Macaca fascicularis: one gene and its partner. The protein of the gene in region 2 interacts with the protein of the main gene of each other region in a pairwise test. Links are inferred from orthologs where the notes say so. Each region holds a gene or a part of one and is shown on either strand. Other genes may lie near its edges.

Region 1 (10,628 bases), on a different chromosome or scaffold from region 2:
AAACTACTATAGTTCTGAATTCTGCCCTGAATTTCAGATGAACTTGCCTAATTCTGTCAGCTTTAAATTTATGGTATATGACCATATGTTGAGAGATACCTGTAATATACCTTCACTGCATTAGGAAAAGTTACTAATCAGATTAGCGATTTTTTTAAAATGAGACATTTTCAATCAAATCACAAATTTAAAAAATTAAATTAACATGGATCATGAAGTTTTAGAAGAAATGTTTTAAAAACTACAAAACAACATAATCTAAGAAAAATATGGTAAGTATGATATATAATTAAATGACATCAATAATTAAAGTCTACAAAGTACCTGTTTGGAGGTGGTTTTGGTTTCGGCATCTTACTAAGAATGGTTGCCATCTCTTTTCTCTCATCGAAATTCTTCCACTGCTCATATAGTTTTAAAATAACCCTGATTATTTCCAAAATCTAGAAGAAAATATTTGAGAAGTTCTCAGTGGCAAAAACAAGCAACATTTATTATATAAAGAGTGCGCATCACTTACTACACAACCCTCAGAAAAGAGTAGTCTCTGTCCTTAAATCCTGATAAATTTGAAAGCAGTATTTTTCACCACAATGCTGTTTAGGATTTTCCTTCTAGCCTCTCATTTTTCAGCATGTGTGCATTGTCCATTCTTATCTATCTCTGCAGTTGATTTCCTTCCATCTGATGATATCTTTTAAACGGAAACATACTAAGAATAAAGGTTCTAATCATGAGGGAATATACCATTATAGGGCACACTCCTCTAGTATAAATTATTTTAAACAACTTAATGGGGGGGTAGTGCACAAAAGATGTTTTGATTCTCTGTTAACTACACATACATTAAGGTGTTCAAAAACTGGCAGCTACAAATTTGAAATAACTAGTTTCCAAATTAGCCGTTTTTTCCCACCTGAGTAGAACCTAACCTTAGGATTAATTTTAATGCATCTAACACTTGAGCACAAAAGCTAGAAACACAGCAAAAGCCACTTTGCCAGGAGATAGGTTATGTTACAGAAGTTCACAGTAGTATTCAGTGGTTACCAGGGAGCTTTTAAAATAATCCTGGGAATTAGAGGCTACTTTGCAACCAATCAAACCAAAAGTTTACCATTCTGTTTAATCCTAAACTGAAAAGAGATACATAGCTTAAATAATCAGTATTAAGTCTTCCTACCAAACTTTTTTTTTTTTTTTTTTTTTTTAAGACGGAGTCTTGCTCTGTTGCCCAGGCTCACATGCAGTGGCATGATCTAAGCTTACTGCAACCTCCGCCTCCCAGGTTCAAGCAATTCTGTCTTAGCCTCCCGAGTAGCTGGGAGTACAGTTGCATGCCACCACACCCGGCTAATTTTTGTATTTTTAGTAGAAATGCGGTTTCACCATATTGGTCAGGCTAGTCTTGAACTCCTGACCTCAGGTGATCCGCCCACCTAGGCCTCCCAAAGTGCTGGGATTACAGGCATGAACCACCACACCCCGCCCATGTTTCTTAATATTTTGTAACCAATAATCTTCTTAGCCTGGTGGACATCATAAGATTTTAGGCTCATGATAAGTACATACGACATTAATTTTTAAACATTCAAGTTTACATACAACTAAGGGAATTTTACAGAATACCTTTTCCATATCCACAGAAAGCTCAGCAAACCATTGCCTGGCGTCTTTCTGCTGTACAACACAGGCTACATGTAGGCAAGCTGAAATGAAAATGAAAGACAACTATCCATGTTTAACTGCAAACACAGAATATGACCTAACAAAGATTTTTCACTAAAAAATTTCCTGTGTATTTTCCAACACTCTTTAAAAAAAATTAAACAGCTACATATGAGAGTTACCATTGACCACCTCAACAATGTAATCCGAGACAGAAAAAATTACTAATTACATCAAGTTCTTGACATCTGGTCCTCGCTGCGTGCTAGTCACGGTGCAGTTGCCTTGAGAGTCAGGCAAGTTAAAGAGAAAAAACATTCAGTGAGGAGAATGGAAAAGGGAAGTTATCTCTGAGTAGTGTACAAAGCAGCAGTTAAACTGCACCCAGAAGTCAGTGCGAAAAAACAAACAAAAATGTCAATTAATACACTAGGTTTTAACAATGTTGACTATATTTCCACATTTCAGTTAAAAGCAGTGTTGCCTCGTCTTTTTTCTTCCTTTTCATTATTAGCATATGATCAAGTTATGTGAAAGCTGGGCACATCCTTACAGAATTCAGTGTTGTAATCAAATAAAAGTTAGAAAAAAAATGTAATATACTGTATACAAAATTAGTTATATATGTTATATACAATATAAACAAAAGAGAACAATCTACATCACAACTTTGCCTAAAACAATTTCTACTGAGCAGCCTGGATATCCTGAACTGACCCCAGCTTAAGTTATACTCCTTGGTCTGGTTATCCATATGTCTTTGCTAAGGATGACATTCTAGGCAAATAGCAACTCAAATGTGAACTGACACACTGGTTGCCCTAAGTCAAGCAAAGCTATGAGTAGGGCTTAAGTCAAGAAGGGGTTAAAAAACTAAAGGACTGAAATGATAAAAACAGGAAATTAAAATACAGTGGACAATGCTATTAACATGGGCATGCATAGAGTACACTGGAGATCGAGAAAGGATCCTAAACCCAGACTGAGGTGATGCCGAAAGGGTGGGGGAGGGTCACTGGGAGATATCTAAGCCAAGTCTTAACAAAAAAAAAAAAAATAAGAGTGGGAGAAGAGAATAGTATGTATATCAATTGGGAGATGAATTCGGCTGGCTCCAGGTTTCTCAATCTTGGCACTACTGACATCTTAGGTTGAACAATTCTCTGATACTGTCTTGAATACTACAAGATGCTTGGCAGCATCCCTGGCTTCTACGCACTAGATGCCAGTAGCACCCTACCCTAGTTATGACAACTAAAACCAAACATTGCCAAATGTCCCCTCAGGGCAAAATTATCCCCAGGTGAAACCACTAGCTTCACTCAACAGTTTGGAGGATAGACAGGCTCTCTGAGGGTGGGAGTGCTGTAGGCTAATAAGCCAGTTAGGAGACTGCTGTGGTAACATGGATAGAAATGAGATGACTATGAGATTACAGAAGGAACAATTGAGATGAAGGCACAAAATGTATTGGTAAACAACTACATGTGGGTATTGAGGGAGATGAAAGGGCCTAACTGCTGGGTTTCCAACTAAGGTATATAACTCGTGCTATTCACCAAGCTGGCAAAGACATTAAAAGGAGGAACATATTTTGGGGCAAAGTGATGAGCTCAATCCTCATCATGAGGCTGAGGTGCTGCTGGGATGCCAAGTGGAGCTATGTAAAAGGAAGATGGATATAAAGAACTGAAAAGTGGCAAGATCTTGGCTAAATAAAGAAATTTAAATGTTTCAGCACATAAGTGATAGTAGAAGCCATGAATCTCATGGAAAGTACCCAAGAAGAAAACTGCAGGGATGGCAAAGATGTGACACATGTTGTTATCCCTTCCTTCCTACCTATAGAGATCCCAGTATTCGTACCCGCTGAACCCAGACACCACTTCAAAAATCCTTTCAAATCCAGTCCTTTCAGGGAGCTGCCAGTAATAGAGGAGTGTAAGTATAACCTATTTGTCAGCCCTGATGTAAGAAGGCCAAGAAACATCAACATTTAAGGAATAATTAACAACTGAACAAAGACAAACCAATGGAAAATAAGAGGGGAAAATCAAGAGGATGGAGTTATAAAAATCAATAGAAGGGGCTGGGCACGGTGGCTCATGCCTGTAATCCCAGCATTTTGAGAGGCCAAGGAGGGTGGATCACCTGAGGTCAGGAATTCAAGACCAGCCTGGCCAACATGGTGAAACCTCATCTCTACTAAAAATACAAAAATTAGCCAGGTATGATGGTGCATACCTATAATCCTCCTGTAGCTACTCAGGAGGCTGAAGCAGAAGAATCGCTTGAATCCAGGAGGCAGAGGTTGCAGTGAGCTGAGATCACACCACTGCACTCCAGCCTGGGAGACAGCGAGACTCCATCTCAAAAAAAAAAAAAATCAACAGAAGGAAAAGGAACAAAATTAACAAGTGCCCAATATATAACAGGCATTATTTGGTGCTGTACAAGCTATCTCATTTAATTCTTCAAATGGCTCAGTGGAATTACTAGTATTCTCTCCATTTTACAATTAAGGAAACAAACACGGAAAGGTCAGATAATTTTCCCACAATTGTAAAGGAAGTAAAGTTTAAGCCTAGGACTATCTGACTCCACCCATTACAGCACTGCTTTCCACAGACAGTAGAATGAATGTATCTAACTTCTTCCTCCAGCCAAGCATTATGGACCACAGATGCTCCTTTACACAACCTCTGAGTACTTGTTTGGGCTCAAGATATGAAAGGCCCAATTATTTTACATGCTACAACTAATATTAGCTGGCTTAATTCTGAACTTTTCCCTCTAAATAAACAAATATGTTCTATTCAGACACTGATTAAAACTATTTTGAATGGTTTAAAAAAAAAAACTTACCAAAAAAAGGGGGTGGGGGAATAATAATCCTGATTTGTGACAGTTGCAGTTCATATTATTGAAAGTTCACATGCAAGGATTAGTCTATTACTTCATGGAACATAAAAACACAAAGTACAACAGGGTGAAATTTAGTTTAGGATGACCTAAATAGGTTTATAACTAATTTAACTAATAAAGGCACACCATGCTTACATACCTAAAGCTATCATGAAAGGAGGATACAGTAGGCAAAGATCCGTTCTGTAGGTATCATTCACTATCCTCCTATAGAAATGTAAATCATATTATTACTGAAAGCAGAACTACCTCATCTGGTTGTACATTTCCTCCAGAGAGGGCCAGATTTCTCATCTTTGCACACATTTATTTCCTTTTATATTACTGAAGCACAGCTATAAAAGTGAAAACATCAAGGCAAAAGGATGGATACATGAATGTGATAACAAATAAGCACGTATCAATGAATAAAATTACAGCTAAATATATTTTAAATTTCAAAATCTCATAACAAATTATAAACACATTTTTCTAATTTTTGAAAAATCAAATTAGAAAAACAGAAATTATACAGTAAATTTGTATGTATGTTGCATACTACCAAAAAGTATTCTGATTACTTTAAAGATAGCTTCAGTCTTAATTTTTATGTTAACAGTCTGTGTTTTGTATAAAATTAAATTTCAATAGGTATATTTATGGAACAGATAATTTAGGATTGTTTTCATTTTGGCATTTACACCACTATAGTTATTAAAATTCAACAAGTGGTATTTTGCTCAACATAAAATATCTTGGGGCAATAGTTTAATGACTTTAAATATACTGGACTTCATATTTAATTGTCAACCTTCCTATCTAATAACACGTTACACTATTAATAACTTCTGTTCTAATTACCATGCAAGGGGAAGCAACATGTCTTCTTGGCCCATGTCCTGCACATACTGGAGCAAAGGTCTATAAGGATGATACACTATCAAGCAACAATCCTAGAAACAGTTTAAAAAATGTGTATGTATAAAAAACAGATTTATTACAACACAAAAATGTTATCATTACCCAACTGATTTGTAATTGTGTATTTCAAAGTGAATTTCACTAACTCATGCTTGCTTCCCTTTTATTCTCTTAAGCAAGCAGTATGACAGCCCTAAACTCTACTATAATAGTGAAGGCAGTGCTCTCTCTGGAATATACCTTGATAAATCGGTTGGCAGTCAGTCAGCATCCATTCATTCCCTTAGAGACTCAAAGTGTCACATCTGCAACACACTGAAACCTCTTATTAGCCTATAAATCCATAATTCCCAACTGGAGGAGCAGAATTCTGCCAAAGACATAATCTATCTTTAAATAACACTGCACGCACACACAAATTGTGCACATAATTTACGGTGGTTTAATGTCCTGACTTGTCTGTTTGTAATCCTTTCATTATAGTTACTTACTATAGAACAGAAAAATTTTCTCATCCCTAAGTAGGATATACAAATTATTTTACAGGCATCAGAGAGACTCTAGATGCTAATATAAATAGGCTACCATGATTTCACCATCACATATCAGGTGGATGGTTTTAAAATGTACCTCCCTAAAATAATTTCTTTAAATAATTTCCAACTTCATTAAATTTTAAAAATGTTTTAATCTATTAATCACAGAAGATTTACTTACCATTAGTTCTAAAAGATAGAATTCACATTCTAATATCTGTTGAAAACAAAGATTATCAATGAAATGTTAATATGAAACCAAATTAGATAAGTCCATCCACTTAATCTAACATAAATTACAGACATTATAGTAATTATTAAAAATGTTTACTAAAAAGTTTTTAAAATCCAGACAATAAACATAGTTTATATTAAAATAAATATCTGCAATAAAAAATTACTATATTATACATGCAATTATGATTATAAAGATTTTAATCCTTGTAAGGAAAAGCCAGCTTCTCACAATCATTCTTATTACTCACTTTTATTTAAAATATCCTGTAAAACCATCAGATTTTCCAGTATACTTTCTAATACAATTATTTCTACTTAATTAAAAAAATGTAACTTAAAGAGAATAAACAAATCCCTTGCAAGGTGGAAAAAGGACATACCTATTAAAATGTCAATAAAAACTCACCTTATATTTCATATTGTTCCATTAGTTTTTAATCCCAGCTGAATAGTAGTATCACCTGGGAGCTTTTACACAGTACCAATGTTGGGAGCCCCAAGCCTGAAAATTCTGATTTTGTTGTTCTGGAAAGGATCCAACATCAGTATTATTTACAAGTTCCCAAGGTGATTTAATGAGCAGCCAGGGTTGATAATCACTACTATGAAGTATTTTTTTAAATGGTAAAAGTTATTTAGCTTTAATTTAGAATAATGTCTGTATTTATGTAATATTTGAAACTGCCATTTCTAGGAAACTACTAAATTTAGTCTAATATAGTATAGAGCTAATTTATATATAGCTTTGATAAGTGTTCTATTTTATACCATATACTTACATGATTCATCCTATAAGGAAATTCCTTTGGAAAGGCATATGAAAATCTAGTTTTTACTGCAGAAAAAAAACAAAAAACAATTTAAACTGAGAAAATGGGAAATGAATTAACTCAAAATTCCTTTAATAGAGCAGAATATTAGAGGGTAGAACAAAATTATTTTCAGTAGGAATTCTTGGCAATACTTAGGGACACAGATTTTTATTTATTTTCAGGGAAGGGGAAAGACTAGGTGGCAGGACACCCTACACAGCTTCAATTTTATATTTACTACCTTGAGAAAGGGTTCTGATGTTTAAAAAAGAAAAAGATCAGGAAAAAAAAAAATCACTGGCTTTTATATTTCTAAAACCTTTTTAGCTATAGAATGGTATTCTTCTGTTTTCCAGTGATTGCGCTTAGAAGGAACACGGGGGTTACATATGTGTTTACAATATATATAGTTGGTAAAACATATACATATAAAATATTGGGAGGATAGTATACCAAAAAAATGTTAACAGTGGTTATCTGTGAGATTTAAGAACTTTTTACCAATCTGCACTTTCTAAACTTTTTACAATGACCAGGTATTTATCAAAATATATATTTTAATAAAAGCATTAATATATGTGCAAAGGTCTCTAGAGTTTTAAACTCTAGAGTAACACATAAAGTTACTCAAAGTAGTAGTAGTAACACATAAAGTAGTACTCTATTATCTATTACTTTATTGGTTAGTCACTAAAGTACAAATGAAAAAACAATGTTAACCATCAATCCCCCATCTCTTTAAAATGGTGTGAGCATATACATATAAGTACTATTTGAGAAATTGTATTCAAGCCATTATGACACATTCAATTCAACCAAGTATTTACTGACAGGTCCTAAAAAATGTTTGGTGTCAGCTTCCATTTGCACAAAGCCCAAGTGATCTCACTGAAATTAAAAGAAATTCCATTTCTAGCCAGGCACGGTGGCTCATGCCTGTAATCCCAGCACTTTGGGAGGCCAAGGCAGGTGGATCACCTAAGGTCAGGAGTTCCAGACCAGCCTGGCCAACATGGTGAAACCCCATCTCTACTAAAAATACAAAAATTAGTCAAGTGTAGTGGCATGCGCCTGTAGTCCCGGCTACTCGGGAGGCCGAGGCAGGAGAATCCCTTGAACCTGGGAGGTGGAGGGTACAGTGAGCTGAGAACACACCACTGCACTTCAGCCTGGGTGACAGAGTGAGACTCCATCTCAAAAAAAAAAAGAAAAGAAATTCCATTCCGTCTATGCAGTATATTTTCAAAAAGATTTGTTTTGCAAATTAAGTGCCCTACAGCTAATTTAGATGCGTAATATCTGCCAGGATTTGAAACCTAGAAAAATTTAAACTTGACATTAGTAAATTTATAATCTTTCCTTTCTTCTCTCCTTTATTTAAATTAAGACGTACCTATTAAGGTTTCTGAGTTTTACAAATCCTTGTGATGTAAAGTATACCAGGAAAACAGGTTCTTATATAATGGTAGACAATCAACAAAGTAAAATTACCTCTGTATATAAAACAAATCTACATCCCCATCCCCTGGACCTGGACACTAACACCTCTATTGAGAATATATTTACCTGATACTGTCACAACATATCTGTTACTCCACGCTAAAACTGCTCTGCATTTTTTTCTATCTTTTAATCCTTTTCTTTCAACTTGGAGAAAAATGCCTCCCTCCTCTCTATTGTTTGTCTTACCACTTATACATTTGTTATCATCTATTCAATTGATAACTCCTACTATTTTTTTTCATCTTTAACCTTTCCTCCTTCAGTAAATCTTCCATCACATACTGATATGCTCAAACTTCCCTTGAAAAAAGCAAAACAAACTCTACCTCATTATATTCCTCTGCCTTTTATTTTTGTGGACTCAAAAACTGAGATCATGCACAGTTCTCTTATACCCACCGTTATAGACTTGCCAGCCTCCGGAACTGTGAGAAATAAATGTCTGTTGTGAAAGCCACCCAGTCTATGGTACTTTCTCATATTAGCCCAAGTGGACTAAGACATGCCTTCACCCAGCTTCCCCTACTACTAACATCTTACGTTAGTATGGTGCATTTGATACAATTACTGACCCAATATTGAAATGTTATTATTAACTAAACTCTGTACTTTGTTCAGATCTCCTTAGTTTGTACCAATGTCCTTTTTCTATCCTAGGGTCTCATCTAGGATACCACATTACATTTATTTGTCACGTTTCCTCAGGATGTTTGGCTGTGACTGTTTTCTAGCCTTTCCTTGTTTTTGATGACTTTGACAGTTTTTAGGAGTACCAGTCAAGTATTTTGTCGAATGCTCCTCTACTGGAATTTGTCTGATGTTTTTCTCATTAGACTAGAGAACATGGGTTTTTGACAGGAAGACCACAAAGTACCATCTTCATCATATCACATCAAGGATACATGGTATTAATGTGATTTATCACTGTTGCTATTGACCTTGATCGCCTGGCTAAGGCAGTATTTGTCAGGTTTCCCCACTGTAAAGTTACTTTTCTCCTCCCTTTCCATATGTACACATGTATAGCCAACACCTTACGAGTGGGAGTTATGCTCCCTCTACTTGAGGGCAGGGTAGCTACATATATTATTTGGAATTCTTCAGCATGGAAGACATGTCTTTTCTCCTTCATTTATTTATATCAGTATGGACTCATGGATATTTAGTTTATACTTTAAGTTATTACCCAATGCTATTTTTAAAATTTTGATGGTCAAATTATTTCAGTTTTGGTCAGTGCTCTCTTAGTTGGCTCCTATATCCTTCTGACATATCCTCATCAATGTAGGTTTTTGTTTTTCTTGTTTGTTTTGAATACTTCTTTATTACTGGCATTATGAGATGGTCCAGGTCCATCTTGTGTATTTCTTGCCCCAGTCCTAGAATCAGCCATTTCTCCAAGGAGCCCTGGTACCTTTTATTGGAGAATTTTATTAGAAACCAAGACATGGGTACTAGGTGAGCTCACCGCTACTGGGATGTCATTGCTTATAGACTCTTTCAGCTGAGAAAGCCAAGAAATACACACATTAACCCATTTATATACACATATCTATAAGTATTTCTATATGTAACCATCCATATTGTATTAAGGTACAGGAGTTCATGCTGTTTCCAGCCCTTTGTTTATCTGTAAATTCCCACTCCAACAATGAGAAACCCGGCTCTCAAACATTTGCTATTGATTTACGTAATTGTTTAATTCCCATATACATGTATAACATTATCAGAATTGTTAACTTGTACACCTATGGGTAACAACTTTATCAACTAGAGTACAGTGCTTATGTGTAGTTCCTTTTGCCTTTACTCTTACACTCTAATCATTTCCAAAGCTACTTATGTCAACACCTTTCCCCCAATTCCTTTCACTGAGGTCGTTTCATATATTTGTAATATAGTTAGACTATTCCTTTCTCAGCACCTACTCACTTCTTAATTTCTTGCAATCTGGCTTCTACCTCTACCCCCACATTGTTAATAACACTATGCTCTCTCTCAAAGATCTGTTTTCTTCTTTGGTTCACAACTTTTTTTATGCAGCATA
Region 2 (11,158 bases):
AAGACATGGTTACCTCCACTTTGCCTTTGGGGAAACTACAGCTAGGAGAAGCCACATGTCTTATCCGAAGACACAGAGCTATTAAGGGTGTCAATGTCAGAACTAGAATCCAGGTTTTGGTAAGTGAGTCTCAACCTGGCTTTTGGAGGCTCATCACCTGTAGAGCTTCTAAAACTCCCAGTGGCAGGGTTGAATCCCAGACCAATTAAATCAGACTCCCTGAGGGCAGATTCAAGCCTCAAAAATTTTTTAAGTTCCCTGGGTGACTTCAAACACAGCCAAGGCTGAGAACCACCGTCCTGCCATGTGTCTGATGATGATGACAGAGCACCTGGAAATAATTTGAAAGCCACCTGCAAATGTTTAAGGGGAGGTATAGCTACAACAATTGAGATTTTTATGGTTTAAAAAACATGGCAGAATTTACAGATCCTATAAATGTTGCCTCCGGCCAGAATTTTCCTTTATTCCAGGATGCCGTCTCTAGTCAAAGCATGTTTAGAAATTTCTGTTTTGTTAATGTCCGTATCCTTTTAATATCCAGTTTGCTGATAGCAAACCTTTGGTCTTTGAGCATAGGTTTGACTTTTTTAAAGCTGTCCAAAGAGAAACCTTGTGAGTGACGTAGACAATCAAGTTGGATCATTTTTAAAACCACCTTCATAGGATTGTGACACATAATTTAATCTAAAGGCAGTTCCTGAAGAGACTTGCCAAAAATTAGTGGGAATCTGTGCATAGGGTACAACAATGTGGATGTACTTAATGCCCCTGAATTGTACCTTAAAAATTGCTAAAATGGTAAATTTTATGTTGTGCATATTTTACCATAATAAGAAAAAATCAGAGGGCTGGCAGGGTTGTGTTCCTCTCTAAAGGATCTCGAGGAGAATCCTTGCTCTTTCCAGGGTCTAGAGACGACCTACATTCTTTGGCTCATGACGCACTTCCTGCATCTTCAAATCGCAAGGACAAGGCAAGTTCTTCTCACATCGCGTCACTCTGACCTATGTCCATAGTTTCCTCTCCTTCTCACTCTCTTCTGCCTCCCTCTTCCACTTTTAAGAGCCCTGAGTCCACCTGATAATCCGAGATAATCTCCCTATCATAAAGTCAGTTGATTAGCAACTTTTAATTCCCTCTGCAACTTCGATTTCCTTTTATAGGTAATCTAACATATTCCCAGGTTCCAGGAATTAGAACATGAACATTTTGGTGAGAGATGGAGGGGACAATTATTCTGTCTACCACAGGAGCTATTAGCAGTACTTTTGTATTATTGTAAAATAATATACTTAAGCAGGATGTGGAGAAAGGAAACAAGCAACATGAGAGAGACCGTCTGGACTGAGCTTGACCTTGGGTTTGGAGGAAATCACAGACACTGGGTGAATCATAGTAGAGACAGAATTCCAGGTCAGAGGCTTCTCACAAGCCACGCAGCAAAGCACGAATCCAAATCCATCCTGGAACTTGAGTTTTAAAAAGAAGAATCAAGGGAGAAATTATGGTGGAGAGAATCATTGCTTTATCAAATATATATACAATTTCAATTCACTTGATCATTTTAGGACACAGGACTATGTTTCACCCAAGTGGAGTCTGATTCCTGCTAGGAAAGCCTGGTGTGCTGGGAAAAGTCAGAGACCTCTGATCCCTTCAGATCATAATGGCCCTCTGAGGTTTCAGGAAGTCTATAGTTAAGCACTTTCATGGGTCTTCATGAGAGTCAAAGAAAGATGCCCTTTCTTGATATACACTGATGCCATCAGGCGCCAGCATTGTCCCTTTCAGTACTCAGAGTTCCTTGTAGCACCCACCAGCTGTTCACAGTGCCAGGGAACTGGGCCTTACAATAGCACCACTCGGGGACTAGTTTTATCCCTTTTAAAAAATTATAAATAAGTTGAGGTCAGGAACTGCGTCTTTCTTCATGTGTCTCTCCCCAATCCACCACCCAGCGTCTGCACAGAGTAGCTATTCAACAGGTACTGGTTGGACTGAATTGAGAAAGGCCAAAGGATCAAATAAAGAGTTGATGGGGTCTCTAAGACCTGGAGTCGAGGAAGGAAGAGAGGAGCTGGAAGCCCAGGCTGATAATGATTGACCCACACAAGGGAAAGGAGGAATTCTTGGGCACAGGAGGGCAGGTCAGAGGGTCTCTTCACTGGGAAATTCCTGGACCACCAATAACCCAGAATAATACAGCACTGAACCCGAAACTCCCACTGGAAGAAGATGAGTTTTCCAGAGCTTCTTTCCAGCGCACAGCTCATGCCTCCTCCATTCAGATTTGGATACAAGCAGCTCTGGGAGATGTCCAAGTCAGAAGGAAAAATCCAAGAACGACCAGGGGGAGATAGGGACTGCAGCACTCAGCCCCTCCACCCTCCTTCTCACAGGCCTGCCTGCCTCGCTCCTGGGTCCAGGGCACCAGATTCGCCATCTGCCCCCGAGGCATGAAACTGCTCTGGGATCCAAGAGTCAGGCCATTATATGGCCTGTCTTTCAAGTGGCTTTTTACAGCTTACTCAGGTGATGAGCACGTTGAAACAAATGAATACAAATGAAAAAGGCATCTGCTTTGCCAAGGAAATTATATTTATTAGGAGGTTAAAAGGGAGGGCCATGGGGACATCAGAGAGTTCTCTGGGTGAGCATAGGAAGGAACAGACCCCCAGGAAGGAAAGGGTGAGCAGGACAGTCTAGAGTAGTTGGGGAGGCTGCAGGCTTTGGGTAAGTTTCTCGGCTGCCTTACGGGGGCCACTCCAGCCATGCAAATGATGTTTTCAGGCCCCTTTTGTTAAACCAGAGCCAGGTCACAGCTCTGCAGTCCTGGGCCCTGCATCCTTGCTCCTCCGGCATTTCCTAGGTTCTAGCGCACGAAGGAATTGCAGGGCCCACAGCGGGGGCGTGGGGCACAGGGTGTGCAGGGGGCAGGAGGAACGCAAGGTGTGCAGGGATTGGAGACACAGGGTCCGATGGACTTGCTGCACGCGTTGGTCGTGGCACAGGGATTGCTGGGCAGACTGGAGACAAAAGAATGATGTGGAAAGATGAGTTAAGGAAAATTTTAAAATCATATGCCAGAGATATCCCCAAGGGTAAGAAGGCCTGTCAGGACTTGGCCCAGCCTAGAACAGAGAAGGCACAGGCTCCCCTGCTACAAAGATAGCTCACATTGTTCATGGTCTCCCTGCCATAGAGCACCAAGGTAGACAGAAACTCTGAAACTCTGATGTCTACTCTCAAATCCGTTCATGCCAAACTGATGACATGGGTTGAGTCATTTACCTTCTCCAAGCCCCAGTTTACTTTCCTATAGATTGGAGGAAATACTGATCCAGCCCACCTGGTGGTAATTATAAGATCAAATCAGGTAGTCTATGGGAATGTACCCACTAGACAATACGGTATTGTAAAAAGTAAGGCATTGATCACATATCATGCAGTCATGCATATTATCATAGTAGAATGCAAAGACTTGGCAGTGCAATTTCAGTTTGTACATCAAACAACTCTTGCTACCAAACCATTTATGTTTTAAATGATGGCCATATTATATTGTCTGAGTTCTGTTTGAGCATGTCTAGTGTGAAGGCATAATTTCCTTTCCAAGGTATGCAATCTTTGCATTGTGTCTGAGTATTACACTCACACGTGCACCGCTTCATCAAATACATCTGCCCATGTACTCACTTGCAGTCCTCGCTCTCCAGGAGGCTCCGGTACGTGTTGATCTCACACTCTAGCCGGGCACGCACATCCAGCAGCACCTGGTACTCCTGGTTCTGCCGCTCCAGGTCACAGCGGATCTCCGCCAGCTGCGACTCCACATTGGTGATCAGGCTCTGCACCTGGGACAGCTGGGAGCTGTAGCGGGCCTCGCTCTCAGTCAGTGTGTTTTCAAGAGAGTCTCGCTGTGGTGGGGAAGATCCGGAATGTCAGAGAGCTGCTCCTTCAAAGGGTTTCTTCATAGGATTCCAAGGAAGTCACAAGCTCCAAGAGCTAAGGAGAGTGTGTGGCCCCAAGGGCATCCCCAGGACTCTGCCTTCCAATTTCCCATTGCTCACCAGCAGGTCAGAACAATACACACCAGGTTATGCTGGGCCTGCAGCTCAATCTCCAGGGCATTGACCGTTCGTCTCAGCTCGATGATCTCTGCCTGGTAGGACTGCAGCTGCTCCGAGCTGGATACCACCTGCTTGTTCAGCTCCTCGGTCTGAAACACCCAAGGGGAGAAAGGATCAGACCCTGCCTCTGGGGCCATAGGGTGGGCCTTGGGTCCTGAGTGGCCACGTGCTTAGATGCCCACCTGCGTGGTGAACCATTGCTCCACTTCCCTGCGGTTGGTTTCCACCAGGGCCTCATACTGACTCCTGGTCTCATTTAGCACCCGGTTCAGGTCCACAGTGGGGGCAGCATCTACCTCCACGTTGAGACGGTCTCCAAGCTGGCAGCGCAGGGTGTTGACCTCCTATGGATGCAGAAAATACAAGAGTTACTATGCTCAGCAAAGAATGGACTCTAAGGAATGGCATTGCTTGTTGAAGCCCTGTTAGTCTGTTCTCTCAGAACAGAAACTTTGAGTGGAGCAGTCTGTGACAGCTCAAGGCACTCCATGTGGCATAGCCCCCTCCCCACCATCTGCTGTGCCATGGCACTTGGCTTCAGAAAAAAATCCCAAAAGTTTGCTTGGATGCCACTGAAGGATGGACTAATTGAGGTTCAACTTTCCCAGTTTACAACTGGCTGTGAGGACCTCAGCATACAAAAAAAAAATAAAATTGGCTGTGCAATTTCAGACCGTATATCAAAAAACTCTTGTTGTCAAGTAAGAGATAAGAGCATATCATGGCCCCTCCCAGGAGAGAGAGGAAGAAGCTCACAAACACTATTCGCCAATACTTTGAAAGAGTAGAGACTCACATTTATAAGGTTTGATTTTTTTTCTTGGTCTTTGGCAAAAAAAAAAAAGACTTTGCAAAGCAGTAACACTGCAATGCTAGGACTCATTCTATAACTATTGACCAATTTCAAGCACATGGAGCTGCTCTGGGCAACTCAAAGAATGTGCTAGTTTAAAGTGAAAGATGTTTCCTGTCTGGGAACATGAACAGGTCTTATCTCTCTCCAATTTTTCTCTTGCCGTGATGTTTTTAAAGGAAACCCTCAGCCTTGTACTCATACTCTGCATTCTGCTGCCCCTAATCACTAAAGCTACCCTGAGTCAGAGGCTGAGACAGGTTTGTGCATTTCTGATTTCTAGTCTCACCTGCTCGTGATTGCTCTTGAGGCACAGCAGCTCCTCCTTCAGGGACTCCACCTGGGCCTCCAGGTCGGACTTGCACAGGGTCAGCTCATCCAGGATCCTACGCAGACCATTGATGTCCGACTCCACCAGCTGCCGCAGGGACAGCTCAGTCTGGTACCTGCACAAGGAGCGGGTCAGAGCACTACTTGGTAGATCTTCAACACTCACAGGAATGATTTTTGATAACCTCATGTGCCTTATCTTTCCACTTTCTGTAATGAATAGGCCCAGGAGACAGAGGTTTCTGGAGGCTCCATCAATACCCAATATTCATCCCAAAACAAACAGATTGATGTGAGTCCTCATCTATTTTTGTGATTTCTTTGCTTGGTTCTCCCCAATCCTCTGCAGAATCCTTCACAGCAAGTGGGTAGATCTGTTTTTCAGTACAGCCATGGAAATCCCTTTTCTGTAACTAAAGATTAAACAGAAGAAATGGACACTAGTGCAAATTCCGAACAACTCACTTGGTTCTGAAATCATCCGCAGCCAGCTTGGCGTTGTCGATCTGCACCACAAGCCTGGCATTCTCGGACTTGGTACACAGGATCTGGGGAGTGAGAGGTGGCTTAGTGAGGACTGAAAATAAATATGACATCATCAACTTTTTAAAAATGACTTAAAAAGACATTTTGAAATAAAAGAGGAAGCAAGAATTATGACAGCACAGAAGCAAGAAACACACTTCTCTATCACAGACAGAATCACTGCAAACTCTCTTGCTTGGAGATGACAGCAATGCCCCTCACCTTCTGCTGAAGCTCCTCGATGGTCTTGAAGTAGGACTGGTAGCTGGGGCACAGCAAGGGCTCCTGCTGCTGGGACCGCTCCCGGATGAGGCTCTCCAGCTCCGCGTTGTCCCGCTCCAGCTGACGCACCTTCTCCAGGTAGCTGGCCAGACGGTCGTTCAGGAACTGCATGGTCTCCTTCTCGCTGCCATTGAAGGAGCCCTCGCAGAACCAGTTGCAGTTGCTCACATTGGCAGGGATGTTGCAGGCCCCGGGTAGGGTGCAGCCGTGGCAGCTGGGGGGCACGCAGGGCCGGGAGGAGCAGCTGGTGCGGCAGCTCAGGCTGGGCAGGCAGAAGTTGTAGGGCATGGTGCTGGGAGGGAGGGAGTGAGTGCCTGGCTGAAGACAGAGTCTAAATTCTCCAAGCCACAGAGCTGTGGGTCTCCTTCCTCTAGGGAGCATTTATATCCCACTGCAGAGGGTGTGGACACAGTATGTAATGTCTTTTTTCTTTTTATTTCTTCACTTCTTTTCAAACGCCCTTTCCTTCAGTCTGTTATTTGCCTTCCTCAGAAGAGTCCCTTGTCCCATAAAATTCTTTACTTGGGCTTCTTGCTAAGTCAGGACTCCTCCGCAGACAGTCCACCCATGAAATCAGAGTTCTGTGGTAGGCCTTCAAAGAGGCTACACAGTCCAGCCCAAGTATCTGCCCTCATTAATTGAGGTGTTGATCCATCCAATGACATTCTTTTGTGTCACATAATCCTGCAGGCCCGTAAACATACTCATGTCCTGGTCCACCTGCCATTTCTAGGGAGAAACACGGATTGGTTTGAGGAAGAAGTTGCATTAAGAGGCCACAGTGGACTGTGTTTCCCTCTTCATTTAAAGAAGAATCTTCAAATGATGGAGCATTCCATGCCTTGGAAGCCTTAAGGTGGATGACTAGAATCAATGGAGGACAGGGATGAAAATATTAGACAGCAATTTGTGTTTTACGGGTCCGTGTAATACTTCCCCGCCAACACTGCATATTACTTAAGAAAATTGTAGAGGAGAGAATTTTAAAGGTAGAGGCTTTGACAACTAGTTTGAGAACAGAGAAGTTTCTAGGGTAAGAGATCATTTTGAAAGAAGGCTGAAAAGTGCAAACTGAGAGAGCCATAAAAAACACACTTAAGGCTGGACGTGGTGGCTCATGCCTGTAATCCCAGTACCTTGGGAGGCCGAGGCAGGCGGGTCACGAGGTCAAGAGATTGAGACCATCCTGGCCAACATAGTGAAACCCATCTCTACTAAAAATACAAAAAAAAATTAGCTGGGTGTGGTGGCGGGCACCTGTAGTCCCAGCTACTCGGGAGGCTGAGGCAGGAGAATGGTGAGAACCCGGGAGGCGGAGCTTGCTGTGAGCTAGGATCCCGCCACTGCACTCCAGCCTGGGTGACAGAGCGAGACTCTGTCTCAAAAAACAAACAAACAGAAAAAGGCATTTAAATGACCTAGAAAAGATATTTAGGGGCAGAGAGAAAGGAATAAGGAGAGAGAAAGGAATAAGGAGGTGTTTGTCAAACATTTCTTCGGGTGTCCATAGTATCCAAACAGAGTAGATGGATATGTTAGGAAAGTCAGGAGATAGCCCAAAGGGGCCTCCACAGGCATGAAATCACATGTATTTGATCTTTAAACTTCATGTGAATTGACCCTATATTCCATAATATATCCATGTTGGCTTTAATGTTTTCTAAAAGCCCCTTTTAAATTTCCAGTTAAACTTTCAAATGTTTTGCCCAATTCACTAAGAGAAAAGGATACACCAGGAAGATGGGCTATATTCTGTCCTGGGCTTCCCATCTCCAGCCCTACTGTAGATGCCCCCTGCTTTAAGAACCAAAGGTCTAAAGGTACCAAAGGAGGTCTCTGTGGTTGTATAATTAAATCCAAGGACCTGTGCACCGGGAAAGAAAATGCTGAGCACGGCATGAGCAAGGGGGTTTTGCAAGGCAAGCTGGAGTCACTTGGGGTTGCTTTGGGAGGTGAAGGAAGGCACTAGAAGATCTGAGGAAGAGGTAGCCAAAGTTCTGAATATATAAAAGTTGCATAATTATAGGCACCGTCAGGTACCACCTGCATCTCTGGAGGCAGCACCCCCATCTCCACTGTGGCTTTGGCTGCCAGCCAGAGCTGCCGTTTTATTGACAACTTATTGGAGTGCTTCTCCCATTGAGCTTTCATGATGGTATTCATGTCACACTCTGCTTGGGTCTCAGATAAAAGGTCCTTCATCTACACTCCCCAAGACCATTATCACTGCTTATTATAATGCCATTCAGATGAAAAGACCCACAGCACTACAAGGAAGATCTAGACTTATAATAAAATCTATACTTCTTTGTTTCCTTGCAAGACAATTAAACGTGGAGAAATAGGCGGGTCTACAGGCTGTTACCCTTGAGACTTTCCAGAGGAAGGACGCAAGGCTAGGCGGCAGCTGTCTGTGGGGAGCTTCTGTCTCATTTCATCTGGGCTTGGGGTGAATGGAAAGGCTCATGCATCTGATTGATGAGCACTAGCTTATAGATGACAGCACAGGCCTTCTGCTTCCTAACTCTTGTCAGCCTGCTCCAAGCACTGGCTTTCCAGCAAGCAGCTATTTCCTCAGCCCTTTCTTCTTCCCCAGCCAGGGAGGCTTTAACCTAAGCCCAGACTAAATGCCAGCAGTTTTCTCCAAGCTCTTGGGTCCTATCTACTGACTGGCCGGCATAGCCTCATGGAGACTGTAGTCAAAGAAGAGTGTTTAGGCTCTAAGTATAAGAAGATTCAAGGAATGGATTGACAAGAAAGCAAACATAGAATTTTTGTACAATGCAGAGAGATCAGAAAAATGGAAAGAGATGGAGACGAGGAGAGATAACAAGAAAAAGAAGAGACAAGGAAGAAAGTTAGGAGGGAAGAATCTTCAGAATCATGCAACAAATCAGACAAAGTTAGCCCAGCTTCCAAGGGGCTAACCTGGAGAATGCAAAGCTGAGAAGAAGCCAAGGCAAAATAAGCCAATAGACTGAGGAGTGGCCCACCATGCTGAGTGTCCTGCAAGGCATAAATCGAGTTGACTCAAAAGATCTATGGACACGGGACTGCAGCTTCTGAGGCCTCTGAAAGAAGTGACATTGTTCCAAGGTGTCCAGACCAAAGCATCACCTCTGTGATCCAGCTTAAGATTTGTTTGTGGCTGAGAAATATACTGCCATCTACACCCAGGCAGTGTAAGGTCTAAAAGGAGCAACACTGCCTGTTCCTGAAGGAATAAGGAGTGGGAAGAGAAGAAAGGAGAAATGAAGCAGGGAGAGTCAGTCCTGCACTGGCTGCAGGTCATGGCCCATCAACAGCCACATAGAAGATGCAGGAGAGAACAAGCGACCCCTGTTATCTTCTGGTTACTCCTAGAGATTCCTTTTTCTCCCTGCTGGTTGCCCTGCAGAATGTGAAGTGGCACAAGAATTCAGGATGGGGACCACAGAGAGACTGGCTGGTGAGTAAACACAATGCTGCCATCTCTTGTAAATCTAGCTTCTTTCTTGCAGTGTTTCTAAGATCTCAGTGGGCTTGAGTGAATTTGCTCCTTGAATTAGTGGGGAAAATGGGACCCCAGGGTTGTAAGGTCCCCATGACCTCACACAGGCAAGGGATAGAATTCATGTATTCTCTTAGTTTCCTAGTTGGAATAGTTGCAAATTTTTTTCATTCAAGGAGAAATTGAGCAGTCAGTGGGCTATCAAACCCACATTCATTATTTAGTTCAATTTAATTCAGAACACATTTATTACACAGCTTCTCTATGCTGAGCATAAGACTAAACTAAAACAAAAGAATCGTAGTTCTGGTGAAAAAAATGTTTTTTATGAACAATTCAGGCCAAGATGGGTCCCCAATATGTATGAGAAATAGCCAGAAGTTAAGGAGATGAGATATTTAGAAGGTGTAAGATGGACATTTGGAAATATGTTTGTATTCAATGTAAATAGAAAATGGGTACTGGGCACAGTGGCTTGCATCTGTAATCTCAGCACTTTGGGAGGCTGAGGTGGGAGGATCACTTGAGCCCATGAGTTCAAGACTAGCCTGGGCAACTTAACGAGACCCCATGTCTACAAAAAAATATTAAAAATGAGTTTCAAAATTAGCCGGGCGTGGTGGCACATGCCTGTAATCCCAGCCACTTGGGAGGCTGAGGCAGGAAAATCGCTTGAACCCAAGAGGCGGAGGTTGCGGTGAGCAGAGATCGTAACATTGCTCTCCAGCCTGGGCAACAAGAGCGAAACTCCATCTAAAAAAAATTAAAATAAAATAAAATTTAAAAACGAGCCAGGCTTGGTGGAGCACACTTTAGTCCCAGATGTTCTGGAGGCTGAGGCAGGAGGATTGCTTGAGCCCATGAATTTGAGGTTACAGTGAGCCAAGATCATGCCACGGCACTCCAACTTGGGCAACAGCAAGACCCCATCTAAAAATTAAAAATAAATAAAAAGAAAAATGTACGTGTGACATTATGGGCATTAGTCACTTGTTGAACATCTACTGTGTGCATCTGCACATCTACAGTCCCAGGGGCGGGGGACATTGTGGGGAGTGGGGGCATGTCATGTCCCCACCACCCGGGAACTCTGAGTCCTGCTAAGCAGACAGGTCCACAGCTAACATAATGTAATGTGATTGAGCCTTCACCCAAAAATATCTCCTTCCCCTACCCACTCCATTTCTTCCTACACCCACCCTGACCCAAACCCCATTTAGGGCATTCCAATCCAGCTCATGATTTTCAGCCACATGGCGAGGAGATGAAGCTATTTCAGGTTATGCACTTGTATCCCAAAGAGTTGTTTGTGCTTCGCTCTCTAAGTGACTCAAGCAGGATTCAGAGAACTGTTCTCATTAGAATCTTGTTCCCTTTAATAATCTAGTCTTCAGCCAGGCAGGGTAATGAATTGTTTCGGCATCTGGTTCTTGTTGCTTTGCAGACCACGGGAGAGGCAGTGGTGATGGCCCATCTCTTCAGCCCTGTGGCATCCCCACAGGATCCATGGGAGTCAAGGTAAGTTTCAAAGCAAATGAAACATGC

The links.
Region 1: the proteins of keratin, type I cuticular Ha1 (region 2) and CCNC interact in binary tests that used the Homo sapiens proteins (3 or more experiments, as listed by UniProt). The two-hybrid records come from large-scale screens. The link is inferred for Macaca fascicularis from reciprocal best matches to the Homo sapiens genes KRT31 and CCNC.

What each region holds. Positions count from the first base shown.
Region 1 is NC_088378.1:75,754,819-75,765,446, reverse strand, and holds part of CCNC (cyclin-C), read right to left. Parts: intron 7,102-10,628; coding exon 7,046-7,101; intron 6,247-7,045; coding exon 6,211-6,246; intron 5,809-6,210; coding exon of another isoform or gene 5,785-5,808; exon of another isoform or gene 5,644-5,784; intron 5,526-5,643; coding exon 5,434-5,525; intron 4,801-5,433; coding exon 4,733-4,800; intron 4,624-4,732; coding exon of another isoform or gene 4,613-4,623; exon of another isoform or gene 4,539-4,612; intron 1,710-4,538; coding exon 1,630-1,709; intron 444-1,629; coding exon 325-443; intron 1-324. UniProt on the Homo sapiens protein: Component of the Mediator complex, a coactivator involved in regulated gene transcription of nearly all RNA polymerase II-dependent genes.
Region 2 is NC_088390.1:62,439,723-62,450,880, forward strand, and holds keratin, type I cuticular Ha1, read right to left. Parts: upstream 6,481-11,158; 5' UTR 6,412-6,480; coding exon 6,064-6,411; intron 5,865-6,063; coding exon 5,782-5,864; intron 5,433-5,781; coding exon 5,276-5,432; intron 4,478-5,275; coding exon 4,316-4,477; intron 4,223-4,315; coding exon 4,097-4,222; intron 3,921-4,096; coding exon 3,700-3,920; intron 3,030-3,699; coding exon 2,876-3,029; 3' UTR 2,584-2,875; downstream 1-2,583.